2 linked regions of the Elephas maximus indicus genome follow. The protein of the gene in region 1 purifies or fractionates together with the protein of each later gene. This does not show direct contact. Links are inferred from orthologs where the notes say so. Each region holds a gene or a part of one and is shown in the gene's direction. Other genes may lie near its edges.

Region 1 (9,670 bases):
ATTCTGTTCGAGGTACTTGGGATCCATTAGGGAATAAAACAGACAAAAAGTGCTGCCTTGTGAAGCTTACATTCCAGTGAGGGGAGAGAGACAGATGATAAACATAATAAATAAATAAACTATATGTTATATTTTATGTATATATAAAAATTTTATGTTAACAGATGGTATGTGCTATGAAGCAAAATTGAGCAGGATATAGAAAATAAGGAGGGCCTGAGGTGAGGGTGGGATAGAATTTTAAATAGGGTAGGTCAGGGTAAGTCTTTTTGAGAAGGTGATATTTTATAGGTAGATATCTAGGGGAAGAGCATTTTGGGAAGAGGAACAGTCAGCACCAATGCCTTAAGGCAGGAATGTGGCTGGCATGTCAGAAGAGCAAGAAAGCTATTTTGGCTAGAGCAGAGTGGGCAGGGAGGAAAGGAAGAGATTAAAGGGAAATCAGGTAACATAAAGACTTATAGGCCCTTGTAGGACTTTGACTTTATGTTGATTGAGATGGGGACATTGCAAGTTTTTTGTCTTAATTTTTGGTGAAAATATACATAATAAAACATGCATTCACTGAACATTTTCTACATGTACAGTTCAAGATATTGGTTACATTGTTCGCATTGTGTCACCATTCTCGATATCTCTACCCATATTGTTTCACCACCATTAACTTAGGCTCTCTGTTCCCTAAACTTCTCTGTGTTTTAGAATTACTGTTGTCTGTTTGATCTCATATAGTCATTCTTTAGAAGAGCACACTGCTCAAGGTGAACATTCTCTACTAGTTGACCTAAATTGTTGTTTAGTTTAAAGATGGCTTTATGGGATAATTTGGGTTCAAGACTTCAAGATTATCTCAGAACAATAGATTCAGGGGTCCCCCCAGTCTCAATGGGTCCAGTAAGTCTGGTTTCTATAAGAATTTGAAAATTTGTTCCACATTTTTCCTATTTTTGATCAGGATCCAGCTATTGGGTCCTTGATCAAAACGTTCACTGATGGTAGCCGGACACCATCCTGTTCTTCTGGTCTCATGGCAATGGAAATAGTAGTTCATGGAGGCAATTAGACCAAAATGCCTGGATTCTAAGCAGAGGACCAACGTGATTTTTTTTTTTTTAATTTTTATTGTGTTTTAAGTGAAAGTATACAAATCAAGTTGGACTCTCATACAAAAATTGATAAACACCTTGCTATATACTCCTAATTGCTCTCCCCCTAATGAGACAGCACACAGCACACTCCTTCCCTCCACTCTCTCTTTTCGTGTCTATTCAGCCAGCTTCTAACCTCCTCTACCCCTCTCATCTTCCCTTCAGACAGGAGATGCCAACATAGTCTCGTGCGTCTACTTGATCCAAGAAGCTCATTCTTCACCAGTATCATTGTCTATCCCATAGTCCAGTCCAAACTCTGTCTGAAGAGTTGGCTTTGGGAATGGTTCCTGTCTTGGGCTAACAGAAGGTCTGGGGACCATGACCTCCGGGGTCATTCTAGTCTCAGTCAGACCATTAAGTCTGGTCTTTTTATGAGAATTTGGGGTCTGCATCCCACTGCTCTCCTGCTCCCTCAGGGGTTCTTTGTTGTGTTCCCTGTCAGGATGGACTGACATGATTTGACTTAGGTTTTAAAAGGATCACTCTGACTGCTGTGTTGACAATAGACTTTGGGGAGGTCAGGGTGGAAGTGGAGAGACCATTAGGAAGCCGTTGCAGTGAACCAGGTGAGAAGGATGGTGGCTGGGACCAGGAGAACAGTAGTGAATGCTGAGGAGTCAAGAATGACTCCAGGTTTTTGGCCTAAGCAACTAGAAGAATTTACTTGCCATCACCTGAGATGGGGAAAATCAGAAATTCAATTTTGGACATGTTAGAGATGTCTCTAAAACATCCAAGGGGAGAAATCGAGTAAAAGTATATATGAGTTTGGAGTTTCAGAGGTAAAATAATTTGTGCATTATCAGCATGTAGGTGATGTTTGAAGCCATGAGACTGGATGAAATTATCAAAGGAGTGAGCGTCGATAGAAAAGACAAGAGGACACTCTACTGTGGTCACTCTACTGTTAACACTATATTGGAGAGAAGAGTGAGGTAGAAAGAAAACCAGGACAGTGTGGTCTCCCCAGTGCGAAGTAAAGAAAGTGTATTCAGGAGGAAGGAGTGACAAATAGGTCAAATGCTGCTAAGAGGTTGAGTAAGATGAGGACTGAAAAGTGACCACTGGGATCCAGCAAAATGGAGGTTTTTGATGATCTTGACAATAATAGTTTCAGTGGAACATGGGAGTGAAAGCCTGGCTAGAGGAGTTTAGAAGAGAAAGGGAGGAAAGGAATTGGAGTCAATGAGTATAGATGGCTAATTTGAGGAATTTTGCTGCAAAGGCAAGCGGAGAAATGGGAGTGGTCGCTGGTGGGGGGAAGTGGAGTCAAGAGGAGAAATTTTTTAAAATATGGGTTGACTCTTCCCTCAACACTCACATCTTGTTGGTCATCAATCCAGTTTATAATACCTCCAAAACTTCTCCCAGATTTACTTCTCAGCCCCATTACCCCTGCCTTACCGTAGGCCCTCATCACCTCTCGTCTGTGGTACTACAGTAATAGTCCAACATGTGTCCTCTAGGCACCACCAGCCACCAGTGTCCTAGGGTCTGCCTGGAAGCCACTGGCCACAGTTCTGCACTGATGACTCCTCCTTTCCTACAGAATGGAAATTGAATGGCTGGCTGGCTGGCTGGCTGAAGTTTCTTACGTATGCATCTGAATCAGTTAGGGTTCCGGGTCCCAGCAGGACAGAACTTACTCCAACTAGAATACTTTGAGGAGAATTTAATAAAAGGACTCTTTTTCCAAAGGAACAGGCAGCGTATGTGGAAACGAACCACAAAGATTGGTGCAGTTTCCTGAGACTAGTAACCCTGGGGTTGTTACCCTAGGCCTGAAGTGGGGCCCTGGAGGGGAGGGAGTAGAAGATACAGGTTCTAGAAATCTCTGTGAGGCTGAAGAGTGAGTTCTTCTCCAGAGTCTGGAAATAAGAGTGGCCCCTGAGAGTTAGAAAAACCCATCTGGAACAGATATGAAATTAATCACAAGATGGTTGGTCTGTAAATGTGTGACTGAAGTGTTTGGAAACCAACTAAAGGTCGGCAAGTTGGGACCTGGGAGTCCCTCAGGGGAGTTGGGCTGGACTGGGATGGTAGTTGGGTGAGCAGAAACTCATCAGTGGTATTAAGTGAGCTAATAAAGGTAAAGTATTTATTTACAAGTGTCTAAAAAAAAAAAAATTTTTTTTTTTTAATCACTCAGCAGGAAACCCTGGTGGCATAGTGGTTAAGAGCTACGGCTGTTAACCAAAAGGTTGGCAGTTCGAGTCCACCAGGCAGTCCTTGGAAACCCCATGGGGGAGTTCTACTCTGTCCTATAGGGTCGCTATGAGTCAGAATTGACTCGATGGCAATGGGTTTGGTTTTTTTTTTGGTTTATCACTTAGCAAGCACTAAGGAAGTAGTTGTTATTATTATACCCAGCTTGGAGAGCGGCAATGCAAACAGAAGAGAGATCACAGGAAAGTGAGGTCCCAGAAGCAGTTGAGGGAATTTGGCCTTGGAGATACTGGGCTAAACAGAGTCCTTAGAATCAAGGCCACCCCTATGGTGGGGGACAAGATATCAGGCTTCCTTGGCTGAGAATGTGTCATACCATCACCTTCTTCTCCTCACAGGAGGTCCCAAGCTCACTGGGCAAACTTCTTGGTAACTGGGCTTCCCAAGGAGCAGCCCAAACTGCTTTGATCCCTTGACACAGAAATGCAGGTCTCTCTTGACAGTTGTATTTCTCTGTGCAAATTAATACCTGGGCTTCATACATCAGCCTTTATTCTGGCCAAATGCCAGCTCTGCACAGGGAGCTTGCTCCACTCATTGTGCCAATGAAAGTGGGTTTTGGAGCCAGAGACTTGGGAATCACACCCTTCACAACAGGCAAAGGTGGCCACCTTTAGGAGCACTCCCTGGTGCGACTCAATCTGCAACAAGTGGAAAGGGCGAGAATGAGGGGGAAGGAAGTTCTTATTAGAGGGGGTAGACAAGGCTCCAGGGCATAGCCAGTAAAAGAAGGATGCCAAAACCTTTGCCTCACCTTAGATACCTCCTCCTTGGGAAAGCCGCCCTGGTCCTTACTCTACCCAGTTGGGGTAGGTACCCTCCTACGTACTTATCACGGTACTACTGGTCAAAGCGAACGGGTTTATCTATCTATCTGCTTGTCATGACACATCTGAACTGGAAGGTAAGGACAATGTCTTACTCATCTTTGTATTCCAGGGTGCCTGGTACACAGTAGGCACTCAATTTTTCTTGACTGCGTGATTGAATGAATGAGACAGACTGAATGGATGAATTAAACACAAGAGGGTGGACTGTAAGCCCCCCAGGGCAGGAGCCCCGACTGCCTGCCTTGTGTGGTAACCCCCAGTGCCCAGCGCAGTGCTTGGCAGAGTCACTGCCCAAAGTCCTCTGTATGGGCTGACTGGCTCACTAAGGGCCAAATCTGGGCTAGCCCCCTCCCAGAATCCTACCAACACCACCCCTCCCTCCTCACTGCTTCTGGCAAGGACAGCATACCCACTGCCCGCACAAAGCACCACGGGTGGTGTCTGGCTTGATCTCTGTCACTGCAGATATGGGGTCTTGTCCTTCCCCCTGAAGAAAGTCACCAAGGGCAGGAGTGCTCCAGACTCTAGTTGGCGAGGGGTACCCGCAGCGGCCGGGATCCCAGGTCAGATGCAGGGGAAGCGCAGGTTGCTTCCGTGAGGACAGTGCTCGCCCTGGGTGAGGAAGCCTGTGGGGCCCGCTCCGGGGAACAATCGCTGAGCTGCGCCACTGCCCGTTCCCACCAGGGCAGGGCGACGTCCTTGGCCCTGTTCCCCTGGGAATCTCGCGTTTCTCCACGCTCTCTTCTTCCCCCAGGTTCCGGCTCTGGCACCCTCCTTGCAGCCCCGAGCTTTGCAAACTTTCGGAGTTTTCCTCCACTTGCGTCACGGAAAAGACTAGAGGGTGACGGAGCCCCGGAACCAGGCGGCGGAGGCTGGCGAACTCCCCAGCGCGACGCTCAGACCCCGGGGGCGAGAGGTGTCTCCCGGTGAGGGAGGACGGGCTGGGGGTCGGTGCATCGTCCCCCCTTTTCCTGGGTCCTCTCTTCCCTCTGTCTCCCATCCAGGACGGAGAGCAAAGAAGTGAGGGCGACCGCGAGGTGGGAAGAAGCTAGGCGGAGTTGGCGGGGGCCGGCCCCAGCGCCCCAGGCCCGCGGGAAGGCGGAGCCGGGCCGTGCCTGCCCAGTCCCGACGCACGGAAGTGCTGTGGAGTTCGCCCAATTCCCTAGCCTGCTTTTCCTCCCTCCCTCTCCTCACCCTCACCTCCCCCCGCTTTCGGCTATTCCCTCCTTCCTCGGGACGCCACCTCCCAGAATCGCCTTTGTTTTGTTTTGTTTTGTTTTGGAGCTGGCTTCTCGCAGGCAGTGGAGAGGGGCTGCGAGTACAGGAGGAGAAGGCGGGCTGGGGGCGCAGCCCGCTGCCCACCGGCCGTGCCCGGTAGGGCAGAGCAGGAGGACGAACCCACAGACAGACGACCGCGCCATCTGCTCCACCGAGCTTACTCTCCAAACTACTGTTGAGTGTGTGCTTGCGCGCCAGGGGCGAGGGGGTGGGGGTCTGGACGTCGCGCGCGCGCCGGGACTGGTTACCTTTGGACGGGTCCTTACATCAGGGTCAGCTTCAGGCTGAGAAACTGCTGAGGAATTAAGCAAACAGGAGTCCACGCAGCTAGTGGCCAGAAGTCGCTAGACAGGCTCGTCGCGCTCCCTCCTTCCCCGGAGTCGGGGCTGGCCTCTCGGGGGGCGGGGAGAGGGCACCTCGAGCCGGCCTGGGGCCTGCCTGCTGCGCCGCCGGGGTCGGGAGTTGGCGGCCTGTTGTGTAAGCCTCAGTCCTTGTTTTCCCGGCCTGGCTCGTTGTGAAGCCGGACACATCCACCCTTGGACTCGATTCAGGCGGCTGTGCTTTCTCCTTGCCCCTCTTGGATTTTCTGGATTTTTGAAAACCCGGTGGCCCAGGAGGAGGAGGAAGGAGGAAGGAGCCGATCCGCGAAGGAATGCGAGAGCCTCCCGAGGGCAGAGCAGCCAGAAGAAGCTGGGAGCCAGAGGGACGGCAGGGCCCTGCTTGGGTTTCAGGAACCGTGGTTTCCTAGTGATTCTCTTCTATTTCAGAACATTATTCCAGTGGAAAGTGTGGAACTCTTGCCCTGGAAGGGCTGGTTTCACTAAGTCACTTGGCTTTTCTTCTGGGAGTAGGAGGAGGGGGAGTCCTCCCGCACATACCCCTCAGGGTCTGCTGAGGGCAGGAAGGAAGACTGTGGACATGAGCCCTCCCTGCTCACGGTCCTGTGCCTGGAGACTGGATAGGGCAGTTTCTGAGCCATGGACATTGCTCTGAAGAGAGGGAGGCTGGACAGCATCCATGGGTGCTGAGACCCTGCCTTAGGGGCTGAGGGACCAGGCTGCAGAGACAGGCTCCGAGCAGCTAGTGTATTCTTGGACAGCTTAGTGAGCATCTGGGGTTCTGGCAGCACCCTCTCCTTCCCGTCTCTACCACCCAGCTCACGATGGCACTGAAAGGCCGGGCTCTCTATGACTTCCGCAGCGAGAACAAGGAGGAAATCAGCATCCAGCAGGATGAGGACCTGGTCATCTTTAGTGAAACCTCGCTGGACGGCTGGCTGCAGGGCCAGAATAGCCGCGGTGAGACCGGGCTCTTTCCCGCCTCTTATGTGGAGATCATCCGTTCTGATGCCAGCTCCAACCATGCCTACTACTCCATCAGCCCTGCAGCCTCTCTGGGCACCCAGGTGAGCTTGCACGACAGCCCCAGTGTGGCCAACTCAGCCAGTACCGCTGGGGGCAGTGGTTTCCTCTCTAACCAGGGCAGCTTTGAGGAGGATGATGAAGATGACTGGGATGACTGGGATGACAGCTGCACAGTGGTGGAGGAACCGCCAGCTGGTGGGCTGGGCACCAATGGGCACCCCCCACTCAACCTCTCCTACCCAGGTGCCTACCCCAGCCAGCACATGGATTTCCGGCCCAAGCCAACCCTAGAGCGGCAGGATAGCCTGGCGTTAGCCAAGCGAGGCAGCATGGTGGGGCGCAACCTCAACCGTTTCTCATGCTTTGTGCGCTCTGGAGTGGAGGCCTTTATCCTGGGTGATGTGCCCATGATGACCAAGATCATTGAGACATATTCCATTGAAATGGGCCCTCGTGGCCCCCAGTGGAAGGCCAACCCCCACCCATTTGCTTGCACCGTGGAGGATCCCACCAAACAGACCAAATTCAAGGGCATCAAAAGCTACATTTCCTACAAGGTTACACCCAGCCACGTTGGCTCACCTGTCTACCGGCGCTATAAACACTTCGATTGGCTCTACAACCGCCTGCTGCACAAGTTCACTGTCATCTCAGTGCCCCACCTGCCTGAGAAGCAGGCCACAGGCCGTTTTGAGGAAGACTTCATTGAGAAGCGGAAGCGGCGGCTTATCCTCTGGATGGACCACATGACCAGCCACCCTGTGCTCTCTCAGTATGAAGGCTTCCAGCATTTCCTCAGCTGCCTGGATAACAGGCAGTGGAAGATGGGCAAACGCCGGGCGGAGAGGGACGAGATGGTGGGTGCCAGCTTCTTGCTCACCTTCCAGATTCCCACAGAGCACCAGGACCTGCAGGATGTGGAGGACCGTGTGGACACCTTCAAGGCCTTCAGCAAGAAGATGGATGACAGCGTCCTGCAGCTCAGCACTGTGGCATCAGAGCTGGTGCGTAAGCATGTGGGGGGCTTCCGCAAGGAATTCCAGAAGCTGGGCAGTGCCTTCCAGGCCATCAGTCATTCCTTCCAGATGGACCCCCCCTTTGGCTCTGAGGCCCTCAACAATGCCATTTCTCACACGGGCCGCACCTACGAAGCTGTCGGTGAGATGTTCGCTGAGCAGCCCAAGAACGACCTCTTCCAGATGCTTGACATGCTGTCTCTCTACCAGGGCCTGCTCTCCAACTTCCCGGACATCATCCACCTGCAGAAAGGTAAGACCCTGTGCAGGCAGGAAACCCTTACGGACTCTGGCACTCTGCTTGCTGGGCACTGGGGAAACTGGGATGATCTAGGCAGAACAGAGCAGCTTATCTCGTCTTTCTGTTGTCTTACTTATTCATTCAACAAATGTGTTGAGACCTTACCATGTGCCAGGTGCTATTCTAGGCGCAGGGATATTGTTGTGGACAGGCCTGGTCCCTGTCCTCACGGAGCACACTGTTTACCTTATTGTTGACAGTGTTCATTCATTTGTTTCCTCTGTTTCTGTCTGACTTGATCATTTAACCACCATGCACTGAGGCCTTTCAAGGTAACATAGAAATGATCAGGCCCCAGGCCTCACCACTGAAGAGCCCACGGGCTCATGTTGACACACACAGAACCTGATAATGAGAGCACAGAGTGCAGGCCTACATTCCCACTCCTCACAAGCTCCCTTGCCCTGTCTGTAGCTTCAGAGCCTGTTCTCATCCTCTGCCTATCTTGTGAGCTCCCTATCTGTGTGCAGGGGGATTGCTGCCCCCATTTTGCAGATGAAGAAACTGGTATCCAGAGATGGACAGTTGCACTGGGAGTCAGAAGCCCAGCTGGGTCTGTCCCTTCCTCCCACCACCTCCCCAAGGACATGTCTGTGTTGGCTGCCTCTCAAGCCCAGCCTTGTTTTCAGTTCTCATGCCCCCTCTATAGGAGAGGACAGGATGGGCCCCCGCCTGTTACTGCTGGGGCTGTCAAGGAACTGCCAGGGAAATGACTCATCCCGGGTCACACAGGGGCGCCAGGCCGGGCCAGGGGAGCGGAACCAGGGGGCCAGGGTACTGCCCACATACCCCCATCCAACTCCCTCTTCTGGAGTCTGCTTCTCGTCTGAGGAGTGAGTTGGGACTGACCTGGCAGGTGGCTGAGTCCTGGGGACAACAGGGAGGGCAAATGTCAGCGAGAGGTGTGGCCCTCCCTGGGGCTGCTTGGTAACTCAGGAAGAACGTCTGCAGGGCGTGGGGCCGGCTCCCTGGCCCCTAGGCCCTGAGGTCAGGTCTGGCTTGTTGGGGAGTTTTTTGTGGGTGGGGCCAGGAGGCAGGCCTCTAGATCAACTCTGGGGACAGCAAAGTCCCCCCCACCCCAACACTCAAGAGAGTCTGGAGCAGCCAGCCCTACTGTCCCTGACCAGGAAGATGACTTCTGGAACTTCTCCAGCTCCCAGCTTCCTTCCTCCCCTCACTTTCTCCTCCTCTTCCTCTCTTCTCAGCCCTTTTCTCTACTATCCACCTTCACCTTCTCCTTATTCTCTCTCCTTTCAGCTCCAGGAGATGTGAGGCCCCAGTTTGGCTCTGTCCCCAATTTGCAGTGTGTTCCTGGGAAGTGCCTCCTCCTCTCTGGGCCTTAGTTTCCTGGGGAAATGAAGGCAGGTGGGCCCAGTAAGCTCACAGGCCTTCAAGTGGGTAGGGTTAGGATTCCTGGGGAGGGTCTGGCCAAAAATAGAGCAATGGCAGAGAGCTGGTTCTGAGCTCCAGGGGAAGGGCTAGGGCAGGGGAGGTGGCAGGGGCC
Region 2 (9,691 bases), on another chromosome or scaffold:
TTGGGACCCACGTCTTCAGGCTCCAGAACCTACAGCACTAACTGCTCCACAGTGCTGCTCTTGGCCGAGATGACACACGGGGTCAGGACTGAGGGGCTGGGCCGTGGGCAGTGTGCCAACAATGGAGGCCCTGGGACACCCCATTGAGGCATTGGGGAGCCATGGAGGGGCTTAGCAGGAGAGTGACGGGAAGCAAGAAGCATCAGAGAAAAACAACACAGTCATGATAATTGATGTGGCCTAGCCAGAGCTTACCCTGTAATTGGCACTGTTCTCAACGCTTGTCATGTGTATTTAATTCTTGCAACTTTATGATGCATGTAGAGTTGTGTTCCCCATTTTACAAAAGAGGAAACTGGGACCAGAGCAATGAAGTCACTTGGTCGTTATCACCCAGCAAATAAACAGGCCCAGGATTCTCACCTCAATACAACTAATTACAAACCGGGTGTTCTTAGAAAGTAAGGACATGGGAGGCCCATCAGGAGGCCGGAGTGGGGGCCCAGGGTGATGAGGCTGGAAGCAAGGCCATGGCCATGGAGACAAAGGGAGGCACAGATGGGAGACTCAGGCCATGAGGCATCATGGGCAAGACCCTGGGTTCTGTGAGTCCCTCAGGCACACTTCCATGGCTTCATGGCTGCATGGCCTTGGGCCAGTGGCTTTGCGTCTTTGAGCCTCACTTTTTTCCTCTGTAAAATGGGAAAATACTCCCAATGTAATGGGGTCGAAGTGAGGATGAAATGGGAAAATCCGCTCAAAGTGCCCCACCGGTGCCTGGCATCAGCTTGGTTATTGAGATTGTCCTTGTTGTGATCCCTCTTCGTCCCCAAGTCTCCTCTCCCCTGCCCTGGTCCAGTAGCTTTCAGTCTTTTAACTGAGACCCACAGTCAGTGATCCATTTCCCATCACTTCTCAGTTCCTGCAGATGTGCATGAAAACAGACATCAGAGCTTCAGGAAGCATTACCCTTGCAATGCTTTCTGGTATTTTCTGTGGTTTTTTCATTCGCAAACAACACTGCTGGTCTCTCCCCATCATATTCAGTTCCCCTCCACCTGCAGTTTGACAAGCATCAGCGTGCTCCCAGGCTTACCTACACCAGCCCCCCCTACTGAGGAGGGCTGGTAAAATGCAGCCTTCTGGGTGTTCCTCCATGATTGGGTGGGGAGAGGAGGAACGCCTGGGAACCTGCGTTTAACCAACCTGTCCCCAGTTGCTTCTGCTGCTCACTCTAGCTACAACACCCAGCCCCAGACAGCACCTGCTTTGTTGATGCTGTGGCCTCCCCTGGATTGAACTGGCAGCTGGGGCCTGAGACAAGCCTGGGCTTTGAGGCCAGACTTGAGTTTGAATCCACCTGCTGGCATATGTGGTGTCAGCTCTCCGAGCCTCCATTTCCTCATCTGTTGGACGAGCTCAACAACAGTGCAGGTCTCCCATCCCTTCTCTACACTTCTGGAGCCATCCAAGTCTAAAACCTAAAAAGCTCCGACGTCTGCAATTCATATGGTGACAAAACCAGACCTGTGTTGTTATTTGTCTCACACATTTCAAGTCTTCACCCATTTTGCTGTAGACATGGTACAGCATTTCATGACTGGCTGTTACCCAGCATATAGGATGCTCACTGTTCTAAAATCTAGAAACTTCTGAAACAAATCTGGCTCTAAAGGTCTTAGGTAAGCAAGTGTGGGCCCATGTCCCACTCCTGAGGATTGAAGGAGAGGGTCTTACGTGCAGCAGGCGTTCGATAAATGGTAGCTAAGGTCCCCAGCAGCCCCCCATCCATATACATACACACGCTCACGCACTTTCTCTCCCTTCCTGAGGGTCTGCTTAGGGATGGGAAGTAATTTTCCCTTGCCTGGCCACCCCTCATCCTGCCCTGTGCCCCCAGAGATGACCAAGAGGGACGTGCCAGGCTTTGCCATCGGGGGCCTGAGCGGGGGCGAGAGCAAGGGCCAGTTCTGGAGGATGGTGGCGCTGAGCACCTCGCGACTGCCTAAGGACAAGCCCAGATACCTGATGGGGGTTGGGTATGTAGGGGAGAGGGGAGACAGGGCCCCACATGTGGGAGTGGGGGTTGGGGAGAGGGAGGATTAAGCAGGATCCAGCCCTCCCCTCGGGTGGTTCTGAGGGACTATGGCCTAGGCCCAGGAAACCTGAGGGTGGGGAGGAAGCCCAGGCCAAGGGTTTGAGGTTCACTGCTCCCCTCCCCCCATGGCCTCACCCCCAGCTATGCCACCGATCTGGTGGTCTGCGTGGCTCTCGGATGTGACATGTTCGACTGTGTCTTCCCCACACGGACGGCGGTGAGGCCCTGGGCAGGGGCAGGCAAGGGCGGAGCTGGGGGTGGGGGCGGGGAGGGTGAAGACTTGGGTGACCCTCCTCCCCTGCCTCTCTCCTCCCCTAGCGCTTTGGCTCTGCCCTGGTGCCCACTGGGAATCTGCAGCTAAAGAAGAAGCAGTATGAGAAGGATTTTGGTCCCATCAACCCTGAGTGCACCTGCCCCACCTGCCAGAAGTAGGCGAGGCCTAGGGGTTGAGGGAAGGTGGGGGGAGCGGCAGGACCCAGCATTGCTGACCCCGACCCCCTGGACCACAGGCACAGCCGGGCCTTCCTGCATGCACTGCTCCACAGTGACAACACCGCCGCCCTGCACCACCTCACTGTCCACAACATTGCCTACCAGGTGGGCCTGTGGCTGGGTGGGTGAGGGAATAGGCAGGGTTTTGGGCCTCCCTTGGCTCACGATGTCGCCCCCTCCCTGCAGCTGCAGCTGATGAGTGCTGTGCGAGCCAGCATCGTGGAGAAGCGCTTCCCCGACTTCGTGCGTAACTTCATGGACACTATGTACGGGGACCCCACCCTCTACCCCACCTGGGCCACCGAAGCCCTGGCCTCTGTGGGAATCACACTGGGCTGAGCTGGCCAGGGGGCTTCCGGCATTGGGGGAAGAGGGAGGGACTGGAAGATATTGAAGGTTTGGTTTTTTCATTCTAACATCATGACTCTGTGTCTTCTTGGGGAGGAATCCAGTCTTGGTCTCCTTCCTGGTCTGAGCTTCACTGTGACAGACATTCTCCCCTCACACTGATAACAAGTAACCACAGCAGCTCCTGGTATCTGGAAAGCACCTGGCACAGCCCAGTGTGTAGGATGTACCCAAGATGGAAGCTGTGGCCCAGGCCCCTCAGCCACCCTGGTGGTGGGTACTCTTGTTCTTCCCTTTTTCACAGGTGAGAAAACTGAGGCCCAGAAAGGAAAAGGAGCTCGCTCAGGATCACCCACTGAGGGAGTGGCAGACTCAGGATTTGAACTCAGGCAGTTCACGCTCTCAGCCTCCCCTCTGTTACCTCCATGACTGCATACCCTCCGTTAAGTCACCCCTGCCTCATAGCGACCCCATGTGACAGAGTAAAGCTGCTCCGTAGGATTTTCTTGTCTTTAATCTTTATGGAAACAGATTGCTAGGCCTTTCTTCCACAGCACTGCTGGGTAGGTTCAAACCACCAACCTTTAGGTTAGTGAAAAACAAAACCAGATTCGTTGCTGTGGTTGATTATGACTCATAGTGACCCTACAGGACAGGGTAGAACTGGCCCATAGGGTTTCCAAGACTGCAAATCTTTACGGAAGCCGACTGCCACATCTCCCTCAGAGCAGCTGGTGGGTTCAAAGCGCTGATCTTTAGGGACCTGACTGCATACACTTGACTTAATCTCGCTCTCAGTCAACAGTGATGGTAATAGGTGTGGCCTAGTTGGAGCTTACACTGTGTTTGGCACTGTTTTTGATGCTAGTCATGTGTATTTAATTCTTGCAACTTTATGACGCACGTAGAGTTGTATTCCTCATTTTACAGAAGAGGAAACTGAGGATCAGAGCAATGAAGTCATTATCACTCAGCAAATAAACAGGCCCAGGATTCTAACCTAGATATGACCAATTACAAAGCCAGCGTTCTTAGAAAATAAGGTTTGTTATTGAAAAAATAATACATGTGTATGATCAACAATTCAAATAGCACAAAAAGTGCAACAGTTTTTATTGGTTTGTGTATTCCTCCAGAAATTTTCCATGTACACCTATTTTCTCATAAATGTTAGTGTCCTTTACATACATTTCTGTATTGCTTTTTTTTTTTTTCTTCGTAGTATATCTGAGAAATTGGTTTACACCTAAGTACATGGAGAGCTTCCTCATTCTCCTTTATGGCAGCTGCGGCCCTATTGCACTTATTTAACCAGCCCTTCTGGAAGGACAGCTAGGGTGTTTCCAGGTTGCTGTGATCCTGGTCAAGGTTGGCTAACCTTGTTGGTGGCCTTTTTGCCGTCTTTCTGAGCGCTGGGATTTTGGTTCATGCTCTGCCATCTTCCACAGTGGTTCTCCATTTCCCTGGTTACTGCTGCCTCTCCCCCTTCAATGCTCCTGCCTCCTCACTTGGTTCCCTATTCTCTGGCCCATCTGTGCCCAGAGGGATCGAATAACTTATTAAAATCCGTCCACCTATCTCCGGCATCTGTTCCAAGAGGTCAAGAATACTAGTTCCCACACTCCAACTCTGCCTGCAGAATAGCGTGTCTTCGTGGGGAGTGGACCCGGTTGTGTTTCATTGGGTTTCTAAACGACCCATGATGCACTAAAGTTGAAGAGGCAGGGAACAACGTTGAAGAGGTAGCTGCATCAACGCGGGGCGTCAGCGGAAGATACTCCTAGGGGAGGGCACAGTTATTTGCAAAGGCATGGAGCTTGACATTATAGGAATGGACCGTCTCTCGCTAGGGAGCACCAACATCGCCCGGCTCCAACTTCTCTTCAAAGTGCGTAGCGAACCGCGACGAGAGCGGGTTTGCCTGCCGGCAGCCGAGATGCATTCTGGGACTTGTAGTTTTTCCTGTTGTTAGGGGCCGTGGATTCAGTTATGACTCGTAGTCACCTTATGTATAACAGAAACACTACCCTGCCCTGCGCCATCCTCACAATCGTTGCTATGTTCGAACCCATTGTTGCAGCCAATGTGTCAGTCCATCTCGTGGAAGGCCTTTTTCTCTAGAGCTCTGAAACTCAGAAGAGTGACGGGTCGTACCACTAGGTGTCGCCCTTTGGCGAGCGCTACCCTGTACTCCAGAAGTCTCCCAACAGGCGGCCAACAATCACAAGTTAAGAACGAGTTACTTTGATTGACAGATACAGTTCTCAATCAGAATCAGAATTCAGATGTAAAGCCTGCCCTCTTCTGATCTGTTGGCTGGAGGAACGGAGTGATATTTATATAAGCCAATGGGAAATTTTTAGGGAAAACCAGTGTCTAAGGATCGAGCCCTAACATCATTGGTGGCTTTCCGGACTGGCGGGTTTTTCTACCAATAAAGTGGCAGAATGCCTCTTCAAGGGGCGGGACCAACATACCTTTTCCTGAAACACCGCCTCCCGGCCTTGACAACTTGGCTCCGGCCGCTATTGGTTCTTGCATAACAACGACAGTTCTTCCTTCCAATGAGTCCACGAGAAGCTCCCTAGGGGAAGGCTTATTCAGCCGTAAACTCGTGCCTCGCTTCCATTGGCTCGAGTACCCGAGTGGCAGCCAGGTTGACCAATCAAGAGCGGCGCGATGGTTTTAAGCCCAGCCCGGGGGCCCCGGCGGGAGGTCGCTCAGGTCGGGTGTTGCCTGAGAACCGGATGAGGCGGCGACAGTGAGGCCGAGCCGGGAGCCGAGCGGAGCGCCGAGGCCCAGGCGGGCGGGGAGCAACGGCCGCGGACGCCGCGGGGCGCGTCGTTGAGTCGGGGGCGGGCGGGGAGCGCGGGGCGCTCGGGCCGGGGCGGCCGGCGCCATGGGCAACCGCGGGATGGAAGAGCTGATCCCACTGGTCAACAAGCTGCAGGACGCCTTCAGCTCCATCGGCCAGAGCTGCCACCTGGACCTGCCGCAGATCGCCGTAGTGGGCGGCCAGAGCGCTGGCAAGAGCTCGGTGCTCGAGAACTTCGTGGGCCGGTGAGCGAGCGCCGCGGGAACGGCGGGCGGGCGGTGGCCTAGGGCGCGGAGGGCGGCCCGGGAATGGCGCGCCTTGCGCCGCCGGCGTAACTGCGGCGCTTGCGTGCCGGCGACGGGGACAGGGACTGGGAGGCGGGCCCTGTGGGGCGCTCTGGGTAGAGGGCTCCCTACAGGCAATGGGGAGCCGGCCCAGGCCCCAGGGGCGTTCCTACAGTCTGGGGGGCGTGGAGCAGGAGGCGCCATTGACCCCTGCGGTGTGTCACGTTCCCAGCCTTCGCGGGTAAACTCTGCCATCTGGTTGCCTTTGGGTTGGGGTAGGTCCCCCTCTACTCCGTCTGTCTGTCCGTTTACCAGGGGCGAACGCGCCACCTCGGTAACTATTGGGGTGATCCCTGCAGTCGGCTGGCCATTTATCAGGGGCAGCTCGTTCTGGCTGGCTGTGTCTGGCCTGGAGAGACCTCCCTACCACCATTTGGCTGTCCATCTGTCCAGTCCCACGGGCAGCCCCCTGCTGATTGGCTAGCTGTTCAGGATGACCTCTGCTGTCTGGCTGCCTATCCGTTCCCCTCACAGACGTTAGCACTTACCCGTCCCTCTGTCGAGTTACCCTAGCTGGTCTCCTCCATCTAACTGGCTGTCTGGACCCAAGGAGGACCCTGTTGTTTTGCTCTCCTGGGATGACACTTCATTTGGGTCCCTGGTGGACCCTGGCTTCTCTCTTCCAAACAGATCCTTCTGTCTGTCTGTACTGGTGGATCCAATGTCTGTCCATCTCCTAGTCTACCATGACAGTCCCAGCAGCTCCTAGCTTTTCATCTGTCTGGCCTAACCCTTCTGGCAGGGGGTGGGGAAAAGGAGTAGGGGAGAAGAGAGCGAAAGGATGAGGCTTGAATCTGTTCAACTCTCTGTTGGAAGTACGACCTGGGGAACTTTCCCCGGAATTCTTTCCTGGGCCATGTTAGGATGCTCTGGGGCCCTGGATCATGGGCCAGCCCCCAAGTTAAAGCCTGCAAATTGGGGAGCACTCCTTGGAGCCTGGGAAGGGGCTTTTTGCCTCATCAGCCCTCAGTGATAAGAGCTGAGATACAGTCTTTTCTGGACCGTTCTGGAGAGGCCTGTTTGCCCATCCGTGCAGTGTGCAAATTCCACTCTCTGGGCTGTTTCCAGTGTTCAGGAAACTAATGAATGAGACCAGGCCCTACAACCACTGAGGACTGTTGATTCTTCTCTCTCCCTCCCACATCTCTTGTCCTTCCACCTTCCTGGTCACTTCGCTATTCCCGGAAGGGACTCCATTTGTGGCTGTGTGGCTGCCAATGGTAACATCATCGTCCTTGTTATTGTTAATCAGTGTGAAGGGGTAGCGTTCACTGAGCAGGCCCCAGCTGAGTTCTTTCCTTGTTCCGTGTGTTGCATTCCACAATGAGCATGGGGTGATTTCGTTACCATCCTAACCTTAGAAATGAGCAGGGAGGTTCAGAAAGGACTCACCGCTTGCCCAAGGCCACTGGGCTGGTATGCAACAGAGCCTGGCTGGACACCCAGACCTGCTGTTGCCTTCCCAGAGGCCTGGGGTTGTGATCCCAGCGCATGAATTTCCTTCTGTGCTGCTGTGTCCCTGGTGGGTTGGCCTCTGTCCAGTGTAGCGGAAAGGTGTGGGCTTGGGCAGAGGTGGATCTAAGGTATGGTAGGCATGGCATATGCCCTGGGTACCACTCCACTTGAAGGGGAAGCGCCAATGACCAAAAAAACCAACCCGTTGCCCTTGAGTCGATTCTGACTCATAGGGACCCTGTAGGACAGAGTAGAACTGCCCTATAGAGTTTCCAAGGAGTGCCTGGTGGATTCGAACTGCTGACCTGTTGGTTAGCAGCTGTAGCTCTTAATCACTATGCCACCAGGGTTTCCATTAACCTGGCATGACACAATGTCCTGCCTCAGTGTCCTGCCTCAAGCACCATAGACACAGAGGCAGGTGGGTATGTGTGTGTGGTGGGAGTGGGGGTATACCTGCTCTAGGCACAAGCCCGGGGGGAACCAGATGAGGTAGGAAATGATCTTCCCAGGTGCTACAAATATGAAAGGCAAGTGACTGAGGCAGCTGGACAAGACCTGTTGCCGCTATCATCATCCGTTCATTTTGAAATTGTCGGGGCTGGGGGCAGTGCAATTTAGAGATTGCCCGTGGGCACTCAAATGGGGGGCAGGGCGCAATTTAGAGATTGTACAATCTCAGTGCTTGCCTTAGGTGCTGTTTTCTGTCAATATGCCTCTGAACTTGGGCTCAACCAGGCTGGGCTGTGAGCCCCTCTGGCCGTCTTCCTGCCTTTCCAGCCTCTGGTGGGCCTCTGTGAAGCTCTCTCTGTTTCATTTGCTTTGTGACCTTGTGCAGATTGTTTGACCTCTCTGGGCCTCGGTTTCCCCTCCTAAAAATGGGGCCCTGGACCCTCAACAAGGCTGTTGCAAGGATGCAGTGACATGGTGTGTTGGAAGTGCTTACTTAGCGCAGTGCCTGACCGGGCTGCTCTTCACTGGGCTGGTTCCTCTCAGAACAACAGCAAAAGCTAATAAGAGTTAAGTGCCTTCGAGTTCCATGCTGAATTTCATTTAAGCCCCATGAGGCTAATACTGTTATGATCTCCGTTTTACAGGGCAGGAAACTGAGGCTCAAAGAGCTGAGTCCTCTTGCTTGAAGCTGTTCATTAAGGAATTGAGGGCTCTGGGTTGGCAGCGCTGAATTTCTCTTCCCTCCCCACCTCTCCTGCCCCACTGGTGATTGGTTACCTGCTCCTGTGGCAACTGCCTCCCAGAACCCAGCAATGTAGACACTGGCTGTTAAAGAGCATTAATTTACTGCATGAAAATTAGAGTTGTTAAAAGGCCTCTCTTAAGGTGCAGGGTGCTGGAACAGAGCTTAAGTACTGTTAGAATTTAAACATGGGTAAGGCCTCTGAGCTTCAAAGCCCTGCTCAGGGTGGGCCAGAGGATTCTTTTGGTGAATTTAGCCAAGGCGTGCCACTGCTCAGAGCCTCAGTTTTCTCTTCTGCAAAGTGGACGCATTCAGTGGACTGTCCCGACTGGTTTCAGGGAATAAACGAGAGCATGTGTCAGGGGCCTTTGTCCAGGTCTGGAACCTGGGGTCTGTAGGGCTTGCTGTGTGTCCTGGATGCTTCCCTGTGGCTTGTCTCAGAATGTGGCCCGGGTGAGAGCAGCCCAGTTGGCTCAGGGGTTGCGGATGGGTGGCTCCTGTTGGGCCCTTTGTTTCACCTGTGTGGTGTTTACAAAGTTTTGCTTTTAATTAGCTGCCAACCTTTAAAAATGAGATTTCACATCAAAATCTGGATTTCAGCAGTACTAGAAAATGGCCAGCAGCGCTCTAGAATTTCATGGTATAGTGCGTGGGCCTGGGTCCAAGGCCCTGTTCTACCATGTTTGGCTGCATGACTTTGGCCAAGGGGATCTTGGCTTTCTGGGCCTCAGGTTCATTTTCTGTAAAGTGAGGGAGATAACCGGACCCTTCCTGCGGCACTGGATGAAGTAACGTGTGTTGAGTAGACAGAAGGGCCCTGGTGAGGAGGAAGGGCCTGGTGCCCGTGGCTGCTGCTGTTTGCCATCATTATCTGGCCTTGCTGGGCCTGTGTCCCACTTGGCACCAACCGCCTAGATCTCAGAAGTAGCAGCCCCTGCTAGACT

The links.
Region 2: the proteins of SNX33 (region 1) and DNM2 purify together in Homo sapiens (co-immunoprecipitation; 3 studies listed by BioGRID and IntAct, with this or other methods). This does not show direct contact. The link is inferred for Elephas maximus indicus from reciprocal best matches to the Homo sapiens genes SNX33 and DNM2.

What each region holds. Positions count from the first base shown.
Region 1 is NC_064831.1:65,540,510-65,550,179, forward strand, and holds the start of SNX33 (sorting nexin-33), read left to right. Parts: upstream 1-5,455; 5' UTR 5,456-6,647; coding exon 6,648-8,118; intron 8,119-9,670. Other genes in the region: uncharacterized protein LOC126088049, read right to left, coding at 3,854-4,018, 4,617-5,207. UniProt on the Homo sapiens protein: Plays a role in the reorganization of the cytoskeleton, endocytosis and cellular vesicle trafficking via its interactions with membranes, WASL, DNM1 and DNM2. Acts both during interphase and at the end of mitotic cell divisions.
Region 2 is NC_064821.1:28,764,553-28,774,243, forward strand, and holds the start of DNM2 (dynamin-2), read left to right. Parts: upstream 1-5,677; 5' UTR 5,678-5,837; coding exon 5,838-5,998; intron 5,999-9,691. Other genes in the region: QTRT1 (queuine tRNA-ribosyltransferase catalytic subunit 1), read left to right, coding at 1,901-2,039, 2,240-2,315, 2,417-2,526, 2,608-2,695, 2,777-2,929. UniProt on the Homo sapiens protein: Catalyzes the hydrolysis of GTP and utilizes this energy to mediate vesicle scission at plasma membrane during endocytosis and filament remodeling at many actin structures during organization of the actin cytoskeleton.